2 linked regions of the Oreochromis niloticus genome follow. Each later gene encodes a partner of the first gene's protein in a complex. Links are inferred from orthologs where the notes say so. Each region holds a gene or a part of one and is shown on either strand. Other genes may lie near its edges.

Region 1 (11,414 bases):
TCTAATGGAGAGCCCTGCCACCCTTTGCTGCAAGCTCATTTCTGTCACTTGTATCTGCACTCTCCTTCTTTTTGGTCTCTACCCACAGCTCATGGCTATGGGTGAGGGTAGAAACGTGGACTGACCAGTAAATCAACAACTTCACTTTCACACTCAGCGCTCTCTTCACCAGAGCAGATCCATCTGTGAATATCCCAATCCACTCTTCCCCACCCGTGAACAAAAAACACAGGATACTTAAACTCCTTCACTTGGGGCAGCAGCTCATCCATGTCCCGGAGTCAGCCATGCCACACCCTTTTATGCCTGAGAATTGTGGACTCAGACTGCTTAAAGTGCTAATTCACTTTAAGAGTGTGTAAAGTTTATCTGGTTGCAATTTATAACATGACATAAATGTGGGTTTTGTTAAGAAATTACTATATTATCTTAAATGCTTATATGCTGATTATATTGCTTTATAAGAGAGGCCCAACTCTGAGTACACTTTGTGTCAAAAGTCCTGACAGGAAACGATATGCTTTTGCAAAAGCATGGTAACTTCATACTTTTGCAGAGCATAGGACCAGAAAGTGAAACCAATTAGGCTGTTTGATCGAAACTTAAAGTGTATGTGATGTAGAGCAAGTATATAAATACCTAGGCTTCCGTTTGTATTTCAGACCTGAGCTTGTGTGTTCGTGTGTTCAGGTCTCCATATCCGGATATGTAAAATAAAGATCATTTTTTAGAGTTAAAAGACCACTTTGAGCCCTGTGTCTTTCTTGGCCCTAAGAATCCAAAGAACCGGATTTAATAGTTTCAGCCCTGAAAATTCCTCATGACATAGATTTGCCATCCTACAGTTCATCTGGGGTTGAGATGACACTAAGAGTACACCAACTTGTGATTCCCTGAGGCATGGATTTTGCACATATAATGTCCACAGCTGCATTAAGTTTTCCACCGAGACCTCGTACTGCTCATGGGAACGTCAAAGCTCTGTGTAAAGTCTTCTCCAGCACATCCCAAAGAATCTCAGCAGGGTTAAGGTCTGGACTCTGAGGTGGCCAATCCTGTTCGCTCAACCACTCTTTGACTCATGAATCAACGAGTGTCATCTTGGAATACTTTGTGTTGATTTAATTGATGTAACTTTCTGGGTTTAGACCTGACCAACTGAAGCAATTGCAGACATAACAATAATCTTGTACGGTAGGCATCACTTCATCTGCCTCTCTTCTTAACCTGATGTACTCATCACTCTGGAACAGAGTAAATCTGGACTCATCCACATGACCACATGACCTTTTTCCATTGCTACAGAGTCCAATCTTGATGCTCCCTAGCAAATTAAAGCCATTTTCTCAGATTAGCCTCACTGATAAGTGGTTTTCTTAAGGCTATGCAGCTGTTTAGTTCCAGCCCCTTGAGTCCCTTTTTGCAGTGTTCATTGTGCACTTTGCAGAAACATTCTTATTTTCACTATTAAACATAGCCCTGACTTCTACTGCTTTTATAATACGGCTTTATAATACGGTTTTTTATAATATGATTTCACGAAAATTTAAGTGATCCCAAGCCTTTTTCACCCTTCAACCACAAAGAGGATGGCTCACCACTTATACTATCCTTCCAGGGTTTAGTAATACATTGAGCAGTTCTCAACACAGTTATATGTATGTATATATATATATATATATATATATGTGGAGAGAAAGGGAGAGAGAGTATTTTCTTCTGTGTTCTCTGATCAGAATAAATACTTTTACACACCGAACACTTAAAATCTGTGAAAATATTTTATGGCTTAAAAATATTTTTCCGAGCCACCTATCTGTGTAATTTTGTGAGTTGGATCTGCAGCATTAATTTCTTTTCGGACGAAGTTCAATTTTTTGGGATTTGTGAATAAAAGGATCTGAACAATCACACCACTGCATTTGGCAACAAGCACGTTCGCAGCTCAAAAAGCGCACTGTACTGAATAAACAATGATGGGGAACTAGTGAAGTAATACTATTTTACCTCACAGACACACAGCTAGACTTTGCTCCGGGTCAGTCGGCTCTCTGAAATTATTTCTCTGCCCTCTCAGATGTGGCTTCAAAATTTAATTTGACTTTTTCACAATGCGCTCGGTGTGTAATGGCCTTTACACTAAATTGTCCAGCAATCCCTTTGCTAAACATATGACAAATTGGTTAAGATTTGCAAATTTCTGCTTTTAATATAGTCCAGGTGAATGCACATTAAAGCTAATACTTTAAGCTAAGACATCATCATGTGCCAACAGTGGAGGCTGATTCCTTACCATCGCTCTACATGGAGAGAGGAGAAGGTCTTGAGTGCAGCCTCACGTGTGAAAAGCTTGAAGCCACACTGAGTGTCCTTGATCCCCTTCACGCAAAAAAACCACACCAGGAAGTGGAAGCCATACATAAGGAACGTACGAAACAAAGACCGCTGCAAAGACACCAAAGTGTGGTCATTTACTGTTCTGAAAAATAATTTCGAACACTTTTCTTTTTAAGCAGTATAAAATAAAACCCTGTTACCTGAGCTACAGAATCTTTCTCTAGGTGAGCTCTGGATCCACATGAAATTGCCATGTTCTCCTAGACGTGAGAGCAGCACATGAGGCATTAGGCTTGGCCACATTTTAACCACTTTTACACACTTATATATCTAATAAGTGAAACTGAATTTAAAACAGAACAGAACACCATCACACCGGTTTGGGGTTGAGGTCATTGAGTCCACCCTCCACTTTCTCAATGTCAGAAAACTTTGTGGCTCCATCAGCATCTGCCATCAAAATGACTTTCCCTCTGGAGCTCAGAGTTCCCTTTAAAAGAAAAAGAGATAAAAACAAAACAAAAAAACCCAAAGTCAGTTCCAAACTGCTGCTTTAGGGTTCCCATTTGGACACACTGTAATCTCACATCTACAATCTCACCATCCGCACAGCTCCTCCTTTCCCTCTGTTCTTCACCAGCGTCAGGACGCGCACTTTATCAGCACTGTACTTCCTAGTGTACCGCAAAGCAACCTGCCAGGACAACACAACAGTGTCCACTCATGAAACCGATCTATACTGGTTGAAAATGTTTAGCTGAGCAAAACGGAGTTGTGCTAAAATAGAAGGTCTGGTTACATTTGCCCCAAAAAAGATTTAAAATTATTACCTCTGTGGTTTTGTCTTTGCTGCCATCATCCACCACGATGACCTCATAGGTAAAAGAGGGGTTTTGTTTCTGCAGTCAGAAGAAAAAACAGACAAAAAAAACAAACAAAAAACAGGAGAGACTTGTTTCACAACAGCCACTTTACCCAGATCATTGTTGCCACCTACTGGTAAGTCTGAGAATAACATATCCAGCAATATATGTTTTGTTTTTTTTTTTTTAATAATGAACATTATCCATCATCAGTGCAGACAAAAAGGCACTAACATCAGTTATTCAAGAAACCTATATACACAAGGTTGCAGAAAAAAGGACCCAGTGACCAAAAAATGTAAACAAATTATAAAAAACAAAAAAAACAAACTTGAACTGTATCTCTGAAAAGGTGTGGTCACCTTGAAATAAATTCAAACTAATGAACAGAACAAATAATTTAAGGGCTTTCTTGTCATTAAAATTTTTAAGCCATCTGTTTATACATAGTTTAGCTTTAAAGTATATACATTTATTAACTAATAAATGTTCCTAATAAAAACACAGTCCTGATAACAGTCTTTCTTTTGTTTGCTTTTTGTGTGTCAGATTTTGATTATAAATAAATATCCCAAATGTAATTACAGTTACTGTTAAATGTGGTAATTGGATATCCGGTGATACATTTTGTTTTATATGCTTTTAAATGTGCTGCTTTTTACTGTAAATATAATTACGCTTTAATTCAGGCTCTGCACTTACCTGCCTGTTCTCCAAGTACTCCATAGCTTCATCCATCATCACTGGTACTGAAGGGACACAGTAACACACATATAATAGCAAGTACAACCTACTGCACAGTGACATGACGTCTGACTGCACCAACCTGGATGGATTGCACTACTAACGCCTAATGAAAACTGACTATTTACAGTGTGTGTCTAATGTGGGCATTCATAATGACTGACTGAGCAGAAAAGCAGACTTTACTCACATCGGAGCTCCTCGTTGTAGGCCGGGACCACCACAGAGAGCTCCCTGGAATGGGGATCATGTAGACTGGGGAAGAGCCGCTTCTCTCCGGTGGCGGTGAGAAAGTGTTTCTCCTTCTCATGGCGTGTCAGGTCCACCATCCCTGCGGTTAAGTGTGCTATTACGAGCAACTGAAAAGTGAGAATTGCATTTGATTTACAATTGAATCTTTCTACAAATGTGGTGCAGTGATGCGTTTTGGCCAAATATCTCCAAAGCACATTGTTTCACAAGTCTTGTGGTTTGTTCAGATGTAAGACTGAAAACCTACGCTACGCTCCCATGTTCTTTTTAGAGAGAAGACCTTAAAAGACTTTCTAGACTCATGAGAACCACCAATTGCTTCTCTAGCACAGAGAAGCAAGTTGATGATGAAAGACACAATTGATGTCTTTCCTCCTTGGCATTGTGTTACCCCACCCTAGAATACTCCAGACCAGAAAACTTCCTTCTTTTTTTTTTATAGAGGTGCTCAAACTTGCTGATCATTACTTAATAGCAGGCACCTGACTGCTAATTACTCTCTGCATTCCTATGTCACATTTTGTAGTTCATCTGAGGTTGTATTTACTCAATTTTAAGATCTGCTAAGGACGAGATTATTTTTTATTATATCCTAAAATGTAAAACTTTAGAAACTGGTCTATATCTAAAAGAATGCGAGCAAATATGTACCATATGTTTCATATATGCTTTCAATAGTCAATAGGACTAACGCTCTGAATAAATACCAATCAATACAGGATTTATTTACAACCTAAAGATCCGGTATCAGCCAATGTCTAGTTTTTCTGAATTAAATGTTGCTCCTTTTCATGCTTATATTACTTACGAGATATTTTTTCTGCATGACACTTGACCCCTCTGTTGCTTTAGAGCAGAATGAAGAGGAAGTATCATAAAACTGAGGTACATGAACAGGCCTGTAAAAGTCTACAAGTGGCCCGAGTCAAACACAATGCTCAAGGATAACTTGGAAAGTTTTGAAAAGTACAAAAGGAAAGATACCCACGCTATCACTGTAACTGTATTTGGGCAACTTCTCCCAAAACAACTTAGCTACAGCATCTCTCATCCAAAGCACTGATTACTCACCACGATGAAACCTACAGCTGCCAGTGCGACGAGGGCTTGAACTATTTCACAGAGGAAATCCATTTTCCATCAGGTTACCTACCCTACACCCACTGACAGACAGACCACCTGCAGGGGGCTAGCTCAGAAGCTAGCTGGCTTTCTCCTTTCCCTTCCTTTATTGACACACAGCCTGTGTTCTAACCTCCTGGTGTGTCCAAATATATGTACCAAATTACGACCTTACGATATTATTCAGAAGGTTAAAATGTTTAATATGAGTCCTTATGTTTCCATTGCTGTGAGGACACTTCACCTAACTCCACTTCCAATCACAACTGAACACAACGACGATGCGGAAGTAGTGACTGTTTTTTCTCCCACATCATCATATTGGAGCAGGAGAACAACGAGCGGCACAGTGCCGCTCGGCGCTGGGGCACACTGCCTCATAGCGGACAGGGGTGGAAATGGTGGCAAGGACTCTCTCTTTAACATGTACATAAAGAAAAAAAGGGAGGTATAATGCTAGGAAAAATATTAGCATTTGTCAAAGCATTAAAGACTTTTCTTCTAGTCTACAACATTTTGTTGTAACATTTATGGAAAACAACAACCTGCATCCCAGTCCCCCAATTCCCTAAAGGTCATATTTTGGACAACGACCTCTCAAAAATTATTTTGTAAAATCTATCGGAAATGTTTCCTGAAGATTTCCTACAAGGTCCACAAAAATATAAAAAGCAACTCAATAAATGGCTGGAGTTTATTTACTTGCAACTAGATTTGACCAGAGACGTCTATGGACAGGTCATGATTTGGTTACAAACGCGTTTGGTTAAACTTTGGTTATGCGCTTCTTCCTACCCGGCTACCGTAGGTCATAGCGCAAACCCACGTGGTTAATCAAAACATCATGGCGGCTGGCTTCAAGTAAGAATATACAAGCTCTCCGTTCTATGTTTGGGAAAATATCACTTTTAGTTTGCTCTGTTTATTTTTTCCTGTACTTACCAGCGGAGTAAATGCATATTTGGTGTTATAATAAATTAAATTATTTATTACACAAAATAAAACGAAAATACCGGACATCATGCATGTGACAAAGAGCGCACTTTATTCATTCTTGTGTCACAGCTGTAGTTTATGACTGGCTCAGATATTTGTCATTGACGTGTATAGCATGAGTACTCGGTCACTCTCTTCGCTGTGCTGTTTCTGAGTGAGCTTCTGATGTGTCGGTGCTGTGGCTTCCTTTACCGCGTTCCCTTTTAACTTGCAGGACTGCTGAGCCTCTGGAGTACCACCGGAGCTTTCTGGTCAGTGTTGAAAACAAGTTCATCCCACACGTGACAGACAAGTGTTGCTCTCTGGATGGATATGAACTGTTATTTGTTTCTCGTTTCTCTTTAGAAAGAAAACTGTCGGCCTGATGGACGAGAGCTGACTGAATTCAGAACCACAACACTGAACATAGGTGAGACTTCCCCACAGTGTGTGAGTGTGTGCGAGGTTTCTGTAACCTACATAGGATTTTTTATTTTATTTCCATGTTTAGGGTCAATTTCTACAGCAGATGGCTCAGCCCTGGTGAAGCTTGGAAACACAACAATCATATGTGGAATTAAAGCGGTAAACACATTTGTTTTTCCTTTTTGTTGTTTTTTTTATTTAGTGAGTGTGGGCCAGGTTGATAAGTACTCACTTATATCTCCCCCTCCTGCAGGAGCTAGCAAACCCTACAGTGGAGGCACCTGGTAAAGGCTACATTGGTAGGTGTAGTAAGAAGTCTTTGTTTTCTCCCATTCTTTCTTTGTTAATTATCTGATATCATGTCATTCAAACAATGATCGCATCTCCATCAGTGCCCAACGTGGACCTGCCACCCCTATGTTCCTCTCGCTTTCGGCCGGGACCACCGGGAGAGGAGGCCCAGGCTGCCAGCCAGTTTATCGCTGATGTCATTGAAAGGTGCCCGACTTCAGTATATGTTAGCTTTTTTTAAATGTTTATTTTAAATGAGTGATAGTTTTTAAACCTGGTGCTGGTTTAACTAAGTTTTTATGTGAATTTTTCAGCTCTGAAGTGATAAAAACAGAGGATCTGTCCATCGACAGAGGAAAGGTAAACCCAAGAGTCACGGGGCTACACTGACATACAATTTGACCCTTAAATATCCAGCCATGGGTACTAAAACTGCGGACTCTTGTTGCAGCTCTGCTGGGTGCTGTACTGTGACCTCATGTGTCTCGACTATGATGGGAACATATTGGATGCTTGTGTTATCGCACTCTTGGCTGCTCTAAAGAACAGTATGTAAATTTCTACTGTAATGTAAATTTTAAAAAAAGTCCATGTGTCTTAACTGGTAATAATGGAAACAAATCAGTAGTTCTTCTTCTTTAAGCAGTACATGAACTTAACAGTATCCTGGCTCCTCACAGCACGACTCCCAGAAGTCACCATCAACAAGGAGACCTCTGCACCAGAGGTGAATTTAGAAAAGAGATGGGAACTTCAGATTCACAAACATCTAGTCAGCGCTTCTTTTTGCATCTTTGATGAGTAAGTTAGTCTAGCCATTATATATATAAAAAAAAAAACAACAACCCAAAAAAGAAATTTATAATCTCTATTTTTAAGTGACATGTGCTTCTTTTTCTAATCCTGGCCTAATCTCGCTGCAGTTCCATACTGATTTCGGACCCCACAGCTGAGGAGGAGACTCTGTCAACAGCACACCTGACGGTGGTGACTGATGAGGATGACCGGCTCTGCTCTGTGCACAAACCAGGTGAGGAATACGTTTGAAGCGATTTGCCTTTCTAGACTGCATGGTATGTGGCATGAACCTAATTTGGTTGAAGATATTTTAGGCTTATCCCTTACTGCAAGAGCCAAAATCTGCAACTGATTTGCCAGTTTTAATGCTAATGTCCTTCCTGGCATGACGCCAAAGGGGATTTATGTTTCTAGTAGGGGTAGAGTCAGCGATCCTTTGTTTGCTTGCCAAGAAAATGTGTTAACCACTACACTATGGAGCTACTCCTTTAACCTGATTTGGCATTAACACAAAAAAAATGTCCTCAGAATACCCCTGTTGTATGAATCAATGCATGTGTAATAGTAACACCAACATAAACTGACGGCTTCAAAATGAACACTCAGGTTAGGTCAACAGAAATAAAACAAAAAGCAAAAAACTCAAAAATGCCAAAAAGACATTTTTAACGTAACTGGGAAATACTGTTCTATACATTGCTACTTGTTGCTCAGGTGGGACATCACTGTCAGGAGAGAGGCTGCAGGAGTGTATCAGCCGAGCAACAACACGACAGAGAGAGATCCAGAAACTCATTGCCAAAGTTGCACACAGTGTGAAGAAGGCACAATAATGACACTCGGACGATGCTTTTTTTTTATCTAAAAGCTGTATTTTTCACTGTCAATATATATTCTTTTTTTTTAATAACAATAAAACTGCTGACAAAGACCGCTTTAAAAAATTATTTCTCAGTGTCCGGAAATGTCTCACACACACACTCAGTTGATGTCTCGTAAGAATACGCTCATGGCTCCTGTACTAATTAAAAGGAAATGCCTTTTCAAAATGTGCTGTACAAAAGCAGGTACACCATCTTGCATGATGATCTTGAGTCCTCGTTTGAGCCCTGTGCTGGGACTGCTTAAGAGAAGAAAGACTTCCAACAGACTGAGAGGTAGAGAGCTGCCCCCAGGCACAATTCCAAGATCAGATTTGCATTTCACATGTAACGGTTACACAGGGAGGATTTGGTGTCGGTAAGCTCAGTCGGGATCCGTGCTTAAAGGGCAGTTTCTACCTGGGTCAACCGAGCAGAGGCATTAGGATCGGGCTTCTCGAGGGGAATCCTCTGAGAATGTGCATCTGCGATCCTCTCAGTTCACAGGGCCTCCATTAGAGACAGCTCTTCCACAACGGAGGGGGGCGGTGCGTTATTGTGGAAGCCCACTACTTACAACAATCCTCTTCTGTGTCATCTCAAAAAATAGCATTAACAATTTTTTTAACTTTAGGGCTCCCTTTTCTAACACTCCCCATCCCCTATGGTGGACACAGTTTTGGTTCTCTCCCAAACATCTGACAACCATTACATACAAATTTGTCAGCTAGAAAAAGACAAACAGAAAAGAGTTTTTTGTGGGGTTTTTCGTCGTTGTTTTTTCTGCCTACACTCGACAGCGAGGCAGGCAAAGAGCACAATATGGATCATTCACGTCCTTTTGTGTGTGGATTTGGGCGGGGGGAAGGTCTTAGTGTGATTTAAGTCTTTCATGATTTGGGGAGGGGCTGAGGCGTGCTCCTCTTCCTCTTACTTCTTGGTTGGCTGGCGGTATGGTGCCGTGGCGCTCCCCCCTGAGGAGCTGCTGCTCCCATAGCCATTTGCTGCTGCTGCTGCATTTGGTGCTGCAAGAATTGCAACTGTTCAGTGCAAAAAGAAACATGGAAGAAGGACAAAAAAAAAAATAGACTTCAGTATGTTACTACAAATAAGATAATGCAGAAAGAAATAATGATATTGACTTTAAGGTTTATGTAAGCATCTCAAGCTCGGTTAAGACATGTTAACTGGAATCCCTCGCTAAAACGTCTTCTAGCAGAGTGCCTTGTGTCGTATAACTGGCATGGGTTAGTGAAGCTGATCTAAAGCCTGATACATAGAACATACAAGAGGAGTGTGCGGAGAAACACAGGAGAGTGGTTAATGGGTTGCAGAGGGGAAGGAAGAGGAAGGAAGAGATAAGATTTGGGGCAGGTCATGTTTTGGGGAGTGAGGCGGGATACAGTCAAGCAGCACCAGTGGCGTCTGGAAGACAAATTATTGGCTGTGATCCTGGCGTAAAAACAAACAAACAAACATGCAGCTCAGCAAACCGTGCGTTGTGCTCAGAGTAAGCCAGCAACCTCAACTGGGCAAAAAAAAAAAAAAAGAGTAAAAAAAATCCTAACGGCTCAGATTCATGCTTACGGTGGAACAACCTAATGCCTCTGTCGCAATGCTGTCGGCTACCTTTCAGCAGTCTGTTCCCAGTGACACAGTTTCAGAACCTGCTGCTAAATGGCTGTGCAAGAACATGCCTCCCACTTTGACACTTTGTTAGTTGTTGCCATTGGAAGTGCTGCAAGCTCTGGTGTGTGGGTTGCTGGGAGTACTGGGGCTACTGTGGTCTTTATCAAACAGCATAGTAACCAAACATACAACACAATATGGAGTGAATGGTGTTTATCTATAAAATGTATCTGAAAGAAGATTTTTATAAAAACTTATAATTATTTATTTATTTATTTTAGGAAAATAATACAGTTTATACTAAAACTATCTCAGTATTATATAAAGGGTGTGGATGGAAGCTATTTTTAAAATCCATTAATGTGATAAAAATACTAAACCTATATGTCATAAAGCTAGTTTACCTAATTCTCTCACACTTTATAGTGCAGCACAACAGAAGCCTGCAAGCTAAATAAAAACAAGGAGAGCTGGTGGAGGCAGGTGTGTCTAATCTCAGTGTTTGGCTCTTACAAACTCTATATGTGTATATGGATGTTAATGTTGCCGTATTACTTGGATCTGTGGCTGGTGCTGCTGCTGAAGCCTTGGAGAAGGCAGCGGGGGCCCAGACCCGTCCAGCCCACAGCCCAACTGGGACAGCACTAAGGTGGAGGGGAAGGGGAGGAGGGAGACAGGGATCCCCAGAGGGAAGGACATGATGGCGAGAGGGAGAGAAGCAGCAGAAGAAGGAATGGGGGGGGGGAGTGTAAAGACAGGAAATGAACAAGTGGAAAAAAGTAGAATATTTGCGAGGATTAGCGGGAGAGCAGGGGTGGGTTGTGGTTTCAGGAGTGCATAAACACACACAGAGATGGAAGAAAGAGAAGCAAAAACAAATGTTGCAGGAAGGCCAAAGATAAATGACCGTGTGCGTTGAGTTTTAAAAAGCGCATTATGGGGAAATAGCGTGAATCGGGTGATTCAGGGAGTTTAGCGAATAGGGCAAATTGAGAAGAGGGACAGGAGGACAGTGTAGGAGGAAAGACAGAAGGGTGGGGGCAAAAAAAAAAAAAACAATAAAAAAAAAAGAAAAGAGAAAATGTGGCAGAGAAGAAGGGGAAGTTGAGTCTCTCCT
Region 2 (10,497 bases), on another chromosome or scaffold:
TGCCCGCTGCGCCTCAGTGGAAGTGGACCTACTGCCTGTGTAGATAAGAAGGGCACATTCTAACAACACAAAGCTTTTAGTTACAGGTGATACAGTAATAAAAACTCCTGGGCAACTTTAGGTACAGATCTCCATTTGGCTTCAGAACTGACTGAATTCTTCACTTTATATAGATTCTGTTCTCATAAAGGGATGGACATGGTAAGCAACAATACTCTGTGATGTTTAAACGATGCTCAATTGGTACTCAGAGGCTCAAAGTGTGCCAAGGAAATATCCCCCACGTCATTACACTACCACCAGCAGCCTGATACAAGGCTGGATGAATCCATGCTTTCATGTTGTTTTCACTAAAACCTGACCAAATTTTGGAGCAGAAATCGAGACTCATCAGACCAGGCAACATTTTTCCATCTGCTATTATTCAGTTTTGGTGAACCGGTGTGATTTATAGCCTCAGTTTCTTGTTCTTAGCTGACAGGAGTGGCACCAGGTGTCCTCTTCTGCTGTTATAGCCAATCTGCTTCAAGGTTCAGTGAGTTTTGAATGCAGTTGCTGTTGATTTCTCATTCCCTTCTGGCCTTTGGCATCAACAAGACATTTTTACACAGAGAACTGCTGCTTTCTGCATAGTTTCCCTTTGTCAAACCATTCTCTGTAAACGCTAGAGTTGGTTGTGTGGGATAATCCCAGGAGATCAGTTTCTCAAATCCTCAGACCAGCCTGCCTGGCACCAACAACTATATTACGGTCTAAGTCACTTAAAACACCCTTCTTTCCCATTCTGATGCTCAGTTTGAACTTCAGTAGGTTGTCCTGACCGTGCATAAATGAATTGAGATGTGCAGTATGATTGGGTGATTCAACATTTGCGTTAATGAACAGTTTTGAGCACGTTTATGAGTACCGTTTCATTTCTGCTAATGGATGCTTGTAAAGCCTAAACACTGGTCTGTAGATGAGTCATATTTTACAAAAGTTTCTATGACAAAAAATAAAAATCATCATTAAAAGAAAAGGACTGTAGCAGGAATTTATCTAGAGAGGGAAAAGAATTGTCTGTGCTTGCTATACAAATGTCTTATTTCTATATACAAAGTTCCAGTTTTCTAACTGCAGGTCAGAGTAAAATTAGTGGTGAAATACAGATTCTTACAATGCAACTAACCAAAGCTCCTCGGTGTTATTATCCAAGTGGAGCTGCGGGAGCCATTTGGAAGTTTTCTCAAGTGATAAATTATAATGAGAAAGTCTTAAATGTCTTAAAAACAGCCTACTTTTTCTCCAATTATATACTATAAGTATTTTTCTTCTTGTGTGTTTTCTGTTATATTAACATGTGTTATGTTCGTTTTAGGGCTATAACAAAGCTGTGGATTGGTGGGCCCTTGGAGTCCTCATCTATGAAATGGCAGCTGGCTACCCTCCTTTCTTTGCAGATCAGCCTATTCAGATCTATGAGAAGATTGTGTCTGGAAAGGTAAGAAGCTGCTTCTTTTGGAAATGCCAACATGATGGCATGAGGAGCAACGGCCATGCATGATAGCTAAGTTAAATTAAATGTGCACGACTGCTTTAACTACTAGAAATGAAATCCTAACACTTGCAGTCTTTTCAGGTTCGGTTCCCGTCCCACTTCAGCTCCGATTTAAAGGACCTGTTGAGAAACCTGCTGCAGGTGGATCTGACCAAACGCTACGGCAACTTGAAGAATGGAGTCAATGACATCAAGGGACACAAATGGTTCGCCACAACAGACTGGATCGCAATCTATGAGAGAAAGGCAAGATACCAAACACACATTAAAGTGACACCATACAGAATTAGCTCGTAGAGTTAATTATATATCGATTTACACACATATTTATTTATTTTCTAGAAAGTTTCCAAATACTCTTCAATCAGTTTTACTACACGGTCCTTTCTGATTGTCGTTACTTAGCTGTTGCATGCACAGTATTTACTTAATATATTTATTTCATTTTTTTAACTGGCCAGTAAAAAGGTGTGGGGTTTTTTCACTTGGAAATCACCCAGCTTCACTGCAGATGGTGCCACATGCCAGTTTGCAGGCGTGACAGTGATAATGGACTGTTTGGATAAATCTAATTAGTTATTTAGCTTGGGCTTAAATCTTATTGACTTCCTTTAGTTTAGCTTAATATGCAAGCATTATGTTTTTGTTTTTTTACTTTGTTTTTGCACTCTTCTACCTGTGATTTGTTATAAGATGAAAATAAGCAGCGTTCTCTGTTTAAGTTAGTCCAGTAAAACTCCAGAGCAGTTCCTCATGAGCAGAGTTGCTTCTTGGGGTTTTGTGGCATAAAAGCAAGATAAAGAGCTACAAAAAGGAAGAGAAGCTGTTTTGTATTTACAGTGAAGTTGGAGCCTTTTCTTTGTGGACAGAAATTCAGTTGCTTTGCCTTTAGTATATTGCTGTATGACAGTGTTAGAATGTAATATCTTGGGCCAGTCACTGTGTAGTCTCACTGTAAGTTGGCAAGCGCCCATGCTGAGATTTTATGAAGACAATGTCTCAGTCCCAGTGAATAAATATCCTATTTGAATATTCTAGTCCAGCTCGTTTAAGCATATTTTGTTATTTTTGCAGAGGTCGTTTCTTCTCTTTGATCATTTTGTTTTAATATGTGTTTCATGATTTAATAATTATGGAAAAAAGTAGACATCTGACTATGACCAAATGATCCGATTAATCATATAGCATTTGTTTCTGGATCCTGGCTAATGTCACATGCTTCTGCGTGTAAGGTTATTCTCTGACATGTAGTAAATCCAGAGCAGAGGGAGTTGAACTGGCAACTCTGAAAAAATGCCACAGTTTTTGTCTTTAAGATATACACGTTGTGTTGTACTGAGTGCATCATTGAAAGTAGTGTTCAGTAAGTGATGTATTAAAGCATTACAGATGCAACTCTGCTGTTTGAGAAAATCGTCCAATCACAGTTTGTCTTTAGTCTCAGTTATGTGCATTATGTATTTGAATAAGCTGCAATCATATGACTCATGTTAAATAATGGGTAAAATTAATGTGCAAACACAGTACAAAGAGCAAGTTAAAAGAAAGTTAAATATAGATTATATAAATGATTATATTAATTTTATCAAAGATAATGCTTTGTCCGAAGAGGTCAATTTACAGTGTTTGCCAGATGGCTAATTTGACTGTTGTCCACAAGCCGGATGCAAACAAACAAAAAAATAAATAAAACATAAACACTGAATGACTTAAATTCAGCGCATCATTTAGAAGAAAAATAAATATTAATAAAAATTAAAGTAGAACTTTATGCATAGTTGAGTCAGTGAGGCACGGCACCCACTTTTAGCTTTTGTAAAATTCCTGTTAATTAAAACATCTTTGCAGACAAATATTTCAGTGACCTAAGTGCGTCTCCTAGAAGCAAAATGTGAAGTTTTTCACTCCAGTACCAGGGATATGAATGAAGCTTGGAGTACCAAGTGCCCGACAACTCTGAGATCATTTGCCATTTCCCCTGCAACGTTTTGCATACAGGGCAGGTATTACCACTTTGGAAAAATAATTGCGCTGGGGATAACGGCTCTTTTGTCCCCGTATGTTGATCATTTTCCAGAAGCCTGCATTACTTACCCTGTTTTTTTTTTTTTTTAACTCACATATCTTTGGTTAAATTAATGTGGCTACTTTTGTGATTTCAGTGTGTCTTTGTGAGCCAGACGTATATTCATACGGAGGCTTATTTTTACAAACGTCTGAGTTGATGTTGGAAAATTCTTGCTAGCAGCCATTGCGTTGTTTTTCCTTAGCCTTCATGCATTAATTATCCTGCAGTTTGTGATTTGTTTTCAATAAGGTACTTGTGCTGCTTTGCAGCACAGACACAATATGACTTGGCTGACGTTGCTTGCCCTACATCCAAAGTATTTCCAAACTATGAATGATGATCCGCTTCTAGGGACAAGCTCCACGTCGTGCTGCGCCAGACATTTAAATTTTGTTTCGATGGTCTGTTATCTGGAGTATATCACCCCAGTCAAGTGCTTTCAGGAAATGTGATGCTGAACAGTTATGGGAAGCCAAACTCTCATATGATTGAGATTAAAATTTGAGTCATTGTGCAGCCCTAGTTAAAATGTAACTATACAAAATCCTGTTAAATTAGAGGGGACAAAGATGAAAGTACAAGCGATACCAGAGGTACCCATTAACCTGTAACATATTTGATACATACAGTTTTTCATCATCATTGTGATTCTGCTGTTTTGTTTTTTCCCCCCCATAAAACCTAAATAAATTGGACAATACATTTTTAAACGATAAATTTCAAAAATTGTCAGAAGATTCGATGAACAAATTATCTGAATGATTTCATGGTTAGGGCTTTAAAGGTTTAACTCTTTGTTATGCATCAGCTGGTTTGTAAAGTGTATGTCTGATTATTTATGAAGGCACAAGTGTCTGTATCTGTGGTGTGGAAGCTCTTCAGATCAGATGCTTTGAGGATGATTTTTAAGATGGGATTAAGATGTCTAATGAAAGGATTCATGCTTTTGTGCTTTGTTCTACTCAGGATGTGAATAAAGTAGTTTTAGGAATGAAAAGCAGACTTGAGAGGGAAATTTAGATGTGTGTGCTCTCGTATCTGCACACCTGGTGAATTGTTACACAAACTGCAGTTGCCAGTTTTTGTTAAGTTATTAAAAACTGCCTCCATTGTAGAGGAAGAGGCTTCACCAGCTATCTGACAAGCACATCGTTTAAGTTGACAGCATTTGGGGTTTGCCAGGACAACAAATGCTGTCTAGATTCACTGTAATACAATACAGTCTTGCCTGCTCTACTGACAAGCCAGTGTAGGCATAAATATAATATAATCCCACCCAGTAAAACAAGTCTTTCTGTTCTTCTGCAGGTTGAAGCTCCATTCATACCAAAGTGTAGAGGCCCGGGGGACACGAGCAACTTCGACGACTACGAGGAGGAGGAAATCCGCGTTTCTTTAACGGAAAAATGCGCGAAGGAGTTTGCAGAGTTTTAGGACGTGAGAACATGGATATATCAGGGAAAATAAGGGGATCTTTGCACTCTTCTGAAGACTTGGGATGGAGCAGAGACCATCTTTTTCAGATCTACTACATAGTCCCTTCATTCCACAAGGCTGAATGAGGTCGCCATGATCCTTGGGTGCCGATAACCTGTCACCGTCACGTACACCTGCATATTAAAGCAGACACATCACTTTTCTCTTTCTTTTTGTTGTTTTTTTTGTACTTATCCTTTTTTTTTTTTTTACTTTGAAGCAGTTAGTCTTGGATGTTGTTATCCCCTATAAAAATGTGATATTTTTCAATTTATGAGGAAAAACTGACAGTGGCCAATAATGATACACACATTGTGGGTTGTAGGGATTCCCCTCCAGTTGTCAGCAATGTACATTAAGAGTGTGCATCACATTTAGATTTTGTCTTAGGTGCAAATCTGTCCAGACATTTGACAACTTTGACTGTTTAAAGGATGACCAAATGGGAAAACGCTAGGTGACACAAGAAGAGAGGTCCTTTCCATTCTTTGCTTTAAGCCTTAGAGAGCCAAATCCTTAGATGAGCCCCCCTCACCCCCATGTTCACTGTCTCCTTTGTATCGTGACCCAGGCACAGCAAGCCATGCAGAAAAGGACAAACCTTGTTACATTAGTAAAAATGTAAAATCCACTTGTTTGTTTGATCTGTTTGGGTCCGCTAGTTACATGTAAAGTTTGATATGTTACAATATTTTGTCGCTGTGTCAAACATTATAATCATATTGTCCCCATCGGGCCTGCTTATAAAGACCCTCATTACATGTCTGTGGAACAACGTGACCTCGGTAAAAGGGAGTAAAGAGAAATCCTTTTAGGGTTTTAACTTTTATGTAAAGCTGAGAGGGTCAGTGTGAATAGTGTTGCAGCTCCGCGCCTCAACATTTAGTGAATCTTTAAAAAAAAAAAAAGTATAATGTACTCAATGAAAGATGTTTTAAAATCTTTGAACAGGAATGCATAAAAGAAAGGATATTTACCATATTCTCCCTGTTATCGCCCCAAAGAGATTTCTTTATTTCATTCTTGTCAAAGAATGTAGATTTGCAACTTATAGGTATGCATATTTGAAAGCTTGATTTCAGTTTTCCTCACAATACACTGGCTAAAATGAAGACTGCTCCTTTGTATCACATGTAACCCTGTTATTGTTAAGCTCATTACATCATACGTATATGCATTGTTTCATATATGTTTTTATTTATACACATTAGAGATGCTAATAAATTTTATTTTTAAAAGTGTTGGAATTTTCTTGCACCCTTTCTTCCATCGTGGATTGCGGATCCTACTGTGTGATCTGGGTAGTATCAAAAGTCCAGAGGCCTCAAGAGAAGATATTTTATTTTAGACGTTTTAAGCAAGTTTGTATCACAGTGAGCACTATGGATTCCTGATTTGGCATCTTGGTATGAACAGCTTAATTACACATAACTTGAATACAGGTGAATACATGTTAGCTTTTTAGAAGTGGGCTGGGGCTTTTTCCATGTGACTAAGGGGTAAAAGACTTGGTGCTACCTGGACAGATCAGTAGTCTGTTAAAGAGCTCACACAAAGACGCATTCAGCCATTACACCTTTGGTCAATTTAAAATCACAAGTTAACCAATGCACGTGAGGAAGCTGGAGAGAAACCACACAAGCATTATGGAAACGTGAACTCATCAGAGAAAGGCCCTGTCTAGCTGGTGGTTTAAACCCAGGACCTTGCTGTGAGCCAGCAGTGCTAACCACTATATTTCTGTATTTGTTGTAACTGACAATCCATCACTACATATTTGGACCACAACACTGTATATAAAAGATGACCATAGCCACCAGTTACGTGAAACCAGAGTATTAAACACAATGAAAACGGTTTATTGTGGATACTAACTCTGCTTCTCATGGTTTCCGCTCTGGCTGTTTTTCTTTTCCGGAAGTTGTCGTTCGGTTTGGACCTATGGTGTTGCCGTAGGTACTCGGCGTATGGGTAATGTAGTGTAGCAGGAGACACGTGGGACGCTGCGTTTCCGTTCATTCGAAGTTTACGGAAACATGGCGGGCCTGGAACTGCTGTCTGACCAAGGATACCGTTTAGATGGAAGAAAAGCCACCGAGCTGCGGAAGCTTCAGGCCCGTATGGGTGTGTTCACTCAGGCCGACGGCTCTGCGTATTTAGAGCAGGGGAACACCAAAGCTCTGGCCGTGGTGTACGGTCCCCACGAAGTAAGTGCCGCGGATGGAGGGGAGGGTTAGTGGGGATAAACAATAAAATGCATTTGATTATGGTCATCACACCAGTGACATAAAGTCGCCACATTTTGATATAATATAGTGTAAATACCTGAGAAAGGGGAATTTTCAGCGAGATCTTTTGCTTGTAGCAGTACTTGCACAGTGTAGTATCATTATTAAATTATTGCTCAAAGCAGACCAGATGTGTAGGAAGTTTTATTTAAGGCTCAACAGCATGAAGTATTAATTGAAATCAAAGTTATGATAACATATACATTCTCTAGACACTTGATTGGGTACACCTTGGCCCATGGTATGAATTCAACAACACTTTTCCACTTGAGTTTTTTAGTCCATATTGAGATAATAGCATCACACAGTGGCTGCTGATTTGTTGGTTGCACATCCATAATATTAATCTCCTGTTATGCCTTTGGAATGAGAAATGGTGATTCTAGAGGTCATTTGAGAATATTCAAGAAACCTGTTTGAGGTGATTTGAGGTGTGTGATGTGGGGTGTTATCCTGCTGGAAGCAAACATCACAAGATGTGGTCATAAAGGGATGGACACAGTCAGCAACAATAATCAGGTTGACTGTGTGCAAATGATACGTTTATATTCCAAGTATATTTGCGTTAACAAGCCGTCGAACAAGTGCACCAAAAAAAGTGTCCAGTTGGTGTATATTGCAGCATTTCTTTATGTTCAGTGCAGTTAACATTGTCCCAGTGTTTAAGCACAGTAACGTCCAGTCCAAGCTGTACATCAGTTCTTACGTGTCGTTTTCCTCCAGATGCGAGGTTCCCGAAGTCGGACTCTTCATGATCGAGCAGTTATCAACTGTCAGTATAGCATGGCCACGTTCAGCACAGCGGAGAGGAAGAGACGACCACACGGAGACCGCAAATCCACTGAGATGAGCCTCCACCTGAAGCAGACGTTTGAGGCTGCTGTGATGACCCAGCTGTACCCTCGCTCTCAAATTGATATCTATGTCAAGGTTCGTGTTGGACTGACACTTCATCTGGTGAGAGGTATTATAGGTATTATAGATTTCTTTGTAATTGTTCACAAACACGTTTCCATCGTCTTCCAACAGATTCTGCAGTCAGACGGAGGGAATTACAGCGTGTGCGTGAATGCTGCCACACTGGCAGTGATTGACGCTGGCATCCCTATGCGGGACTATGTGTGTGCCTGCACTGTAGGGTTTGTGGATGAGACCCCCCTCGCTGACCTGTGCTATGCGGAGGAAAGTGGAGGCGTGAGCTCATTGGCTTTAGCGCTTCTGCCCCGAGGTGGACAGATCGCTCTGCTGCAGATGGATGCCAGACTGCATCAGGATCACCTCGAGACTCTGATTGAAGCTGCAATGACTGCTTGTAAAGGTGTGAGCAAAGTGCTGGATGAGGTGGTGAGGCAGCATCTTCAAGAAGCCTCGGTGCTCACTGGAGAGTGACGTGGGACGGCAGCAGGAACATGTGGACTCCGAGTGCAGCTTGAAAGTGTTATTGGACTTTAAATATTTACAAATGATATTAACGTTTAATTCATTTATATCAGTCACTGAATACTGTTGTATGTATGTGATAAATGTAATAATAAATATTTTAGTCATGCATCGTTTCCTTATTGGTTGTTTATTTGTGAGTGAGGTATTCAAACTTGTCTACTTATACGACGTCTGCTCCTGCAGCTTCACCTCTCCACCTGCCTCCCAGCCATTGAAACATGTATCCTCTCTTGTTTCTACTGACCTTCTCTCCAGGACACACCTCCATCACCCCCGGTTATCTTCCCCACCTGCTCCCTACTCTCTATGATGGAAGCTTGTTTGTCCAACTCAAAATTTTTGAGATTTTAACCCTTTCTGGTTACTAAGTATCTTGAAATGTTGACTTACTTCTGAGCTCACACATTTTGAGATATATATTTCCACTGGCAGAAACAAGCTACCACATTGATGTTCTACATTTTATAGCAATAAATAATAATTTAAAAAACTATGTTTTAAACTAAATACACGAGTAAAGTCACTCTGTATTAAGGTAAGCTAAATGAAAACTACGAGCTTTAAGCATTTAAGAAAAATTTTAAGGGAAGTTTTAAACATGTACCTTATAACGTATAACATGTACCTAATAACGATGAAACGGGTTATTCATCCAGTATTTTCAATATTTCTTTGTGTCGTTTTATTTTGTTTTACTTTATTTTATTTTAACTTGCTTGAGCGGAAGTCGGTGCGCCGCGGTAATGTTCCCGCAGGAACAAGGAAATCGAAAACGTCCAGCAGCGGCTTCTGCGATAAAGCCCCACCTCTGAAGGTGGATGTGACCAGTGGACACAGGTGGGTTTTTTATATATATTCTGCAAAATAATAAAAAAATTTGTTAAAGCTCTTTAAAAAAAAAAAAAAAAAAAAAGCTTTTTCAGCGTATAGCGGGTTTAAACATTTACCACTCAGCGAAACCGTCCTGCTTGCTTGCTAGCTCGCTGCACCAGGCTAACCTCAGCTGTCAGTAGATGCTCTGACAATGGATCCCAGGAAGCAATTTCTCAGCTCGATATAAAGGCGTGATTACCGCAGCGTCGAATGGTCATAAATGTCTTCATATCGATGTGTATTCCTCAGCGGTAGTTATCCTTACGGATTGTTAACAAATCATATTTAAATTGTCTGTGTGTTTCCTTCAGGATCCGCCAGTAAATCCAGGCTTTGGAGTAACGTTACAGCTGATAATATGGGGCTGCTATCTGACCCAAACAGAAGACGGGCTTTGATCAGTATGCTGACTCGCCTCAATGCCCCAATCTGGTGAGTTTTAGTCAGTGTGAAACGTCTGCCTACTTTCGTTTAGCTCTCTCTCTCTCTCTCTCTCTATTAATATTACTTCTGTCTTGTTTTAGTGTGGTCTGCTACTTTGCCGGTGTGGCTTGGTTCATGGGTTTGGCCTTTGAGCCGTTCACTCTGCGGACATACATGTCAGAGAATGCCATGGGCTCTACCATGGTGGAGGAGCGCTTTCCAGCTGGGGAGAGAGCGTTGGCCACCGGGAGGGAGTTTGCAGCCCATAAGAAGAAAGTTGGGTAAGGTTTACTATAGACTTGTGCTTGTGGGTCTTTATGCAGTTTGTTCCTAGTTTTTTGTTGTTATTTGAAACTCAAGTCTCGGTAGAAGTCTGATCGTTTTTACAG

What was found. The genes of interacting proteins can lie anywhere in the genome.
Region 2: exosc8 (region 1) and exosc4 share a complex: the UniProt entries of both Homo sapiens proteins name them as parts of the RNA exosome core complex. The link is inferred for Oreochromis niloticus from reciprocal best matches to the Homo sapiens genes EXOSC8 and EXOSC4.

The regions. Positions count from the first base shown.
Region 1 is NC_031975.2:15,848,520-15,859,933, reverse strand, and holds exosc8 (exosome complex component RRP43), read left to right. Parts: upstream 1-6,076; 5' UTR 6,077-6,162; coding exon 6,163-6,179; intron 6,180-6,528; coding exon 6,529-6,565; intron 6,566-6,659; coding exon 6,660-6,723; intron 6,724-6,804; coding exon 6,805-6,878; intron 6,879-6,972; coding exon 6,973-7,018; intron 7,019-7,111; coding exon 7,112-7,217; intron 7,218-7,324; coding exon 7,325-7,370; intron 7,371-7,461; coding exon 7,462-7,558; intron 7,559-7,690; coding exon 7,691-7,811; intron 7,812-7,933; coding exon 7,934-8,040; intron 8,041-8,522; coding exon 8,523-8,641; 3' UTR 8,642-8,753; downstream 8,754-11,414. Other genes in the region: alg5 (dolichyl-phosphate beta-glucosyltransferase), read right to left, coding at 2,294-2,445, 2,538-2,597, 2,714-2,827, 2,939-3,031, 3,168-3,236, 3,903-3,949, 4,135-4,303, 5,268-5,330; supt20 (transcription factor SPT20 homolog), read right to left, coding at 9,559-9,708, 10,853-10,941. UniProt on the Homo sapiens protein: Non-catalytic component of the RNA exosome complex which has 3'->5' exoribonuclease activity and participates in a multitude of cellular RNA processing and degradation events.
Region 2 is NC_031982.2:18,040,345-18,050,841, reverse strand, and holds exosc4 (exosome complex component RRP41), read left to right. Parts: upstream 1-7,033; 5' UTR 7,034-7,117; coding exon 7,118-7,288; intron 7,289-8,092; coding exon 8,093-8,299; intron 8,300-8,398; coding exon 8,399-8,758; 3' UTR 8,759-8,925; downstream 8,926-10,497. Other genes in the region: prkacbb (protein kinase, cAMP-dependent, catalytic, beta b), read left to right, coding at 1,358-1,480, 1,619-1,783, 4,914-5,039; gpaa1 (glycosylphosphatidylinositol anchor attachment 1 protein), read left to right, coding at 10,044-10,117, 10,210-10,389. UniProt on the Homo sapiens protein: Non-catalytic component of the RNA exosome complex which has 3'->5' exoribonuclease activity and participates in a multitude of cellular RNA processing and degradation events.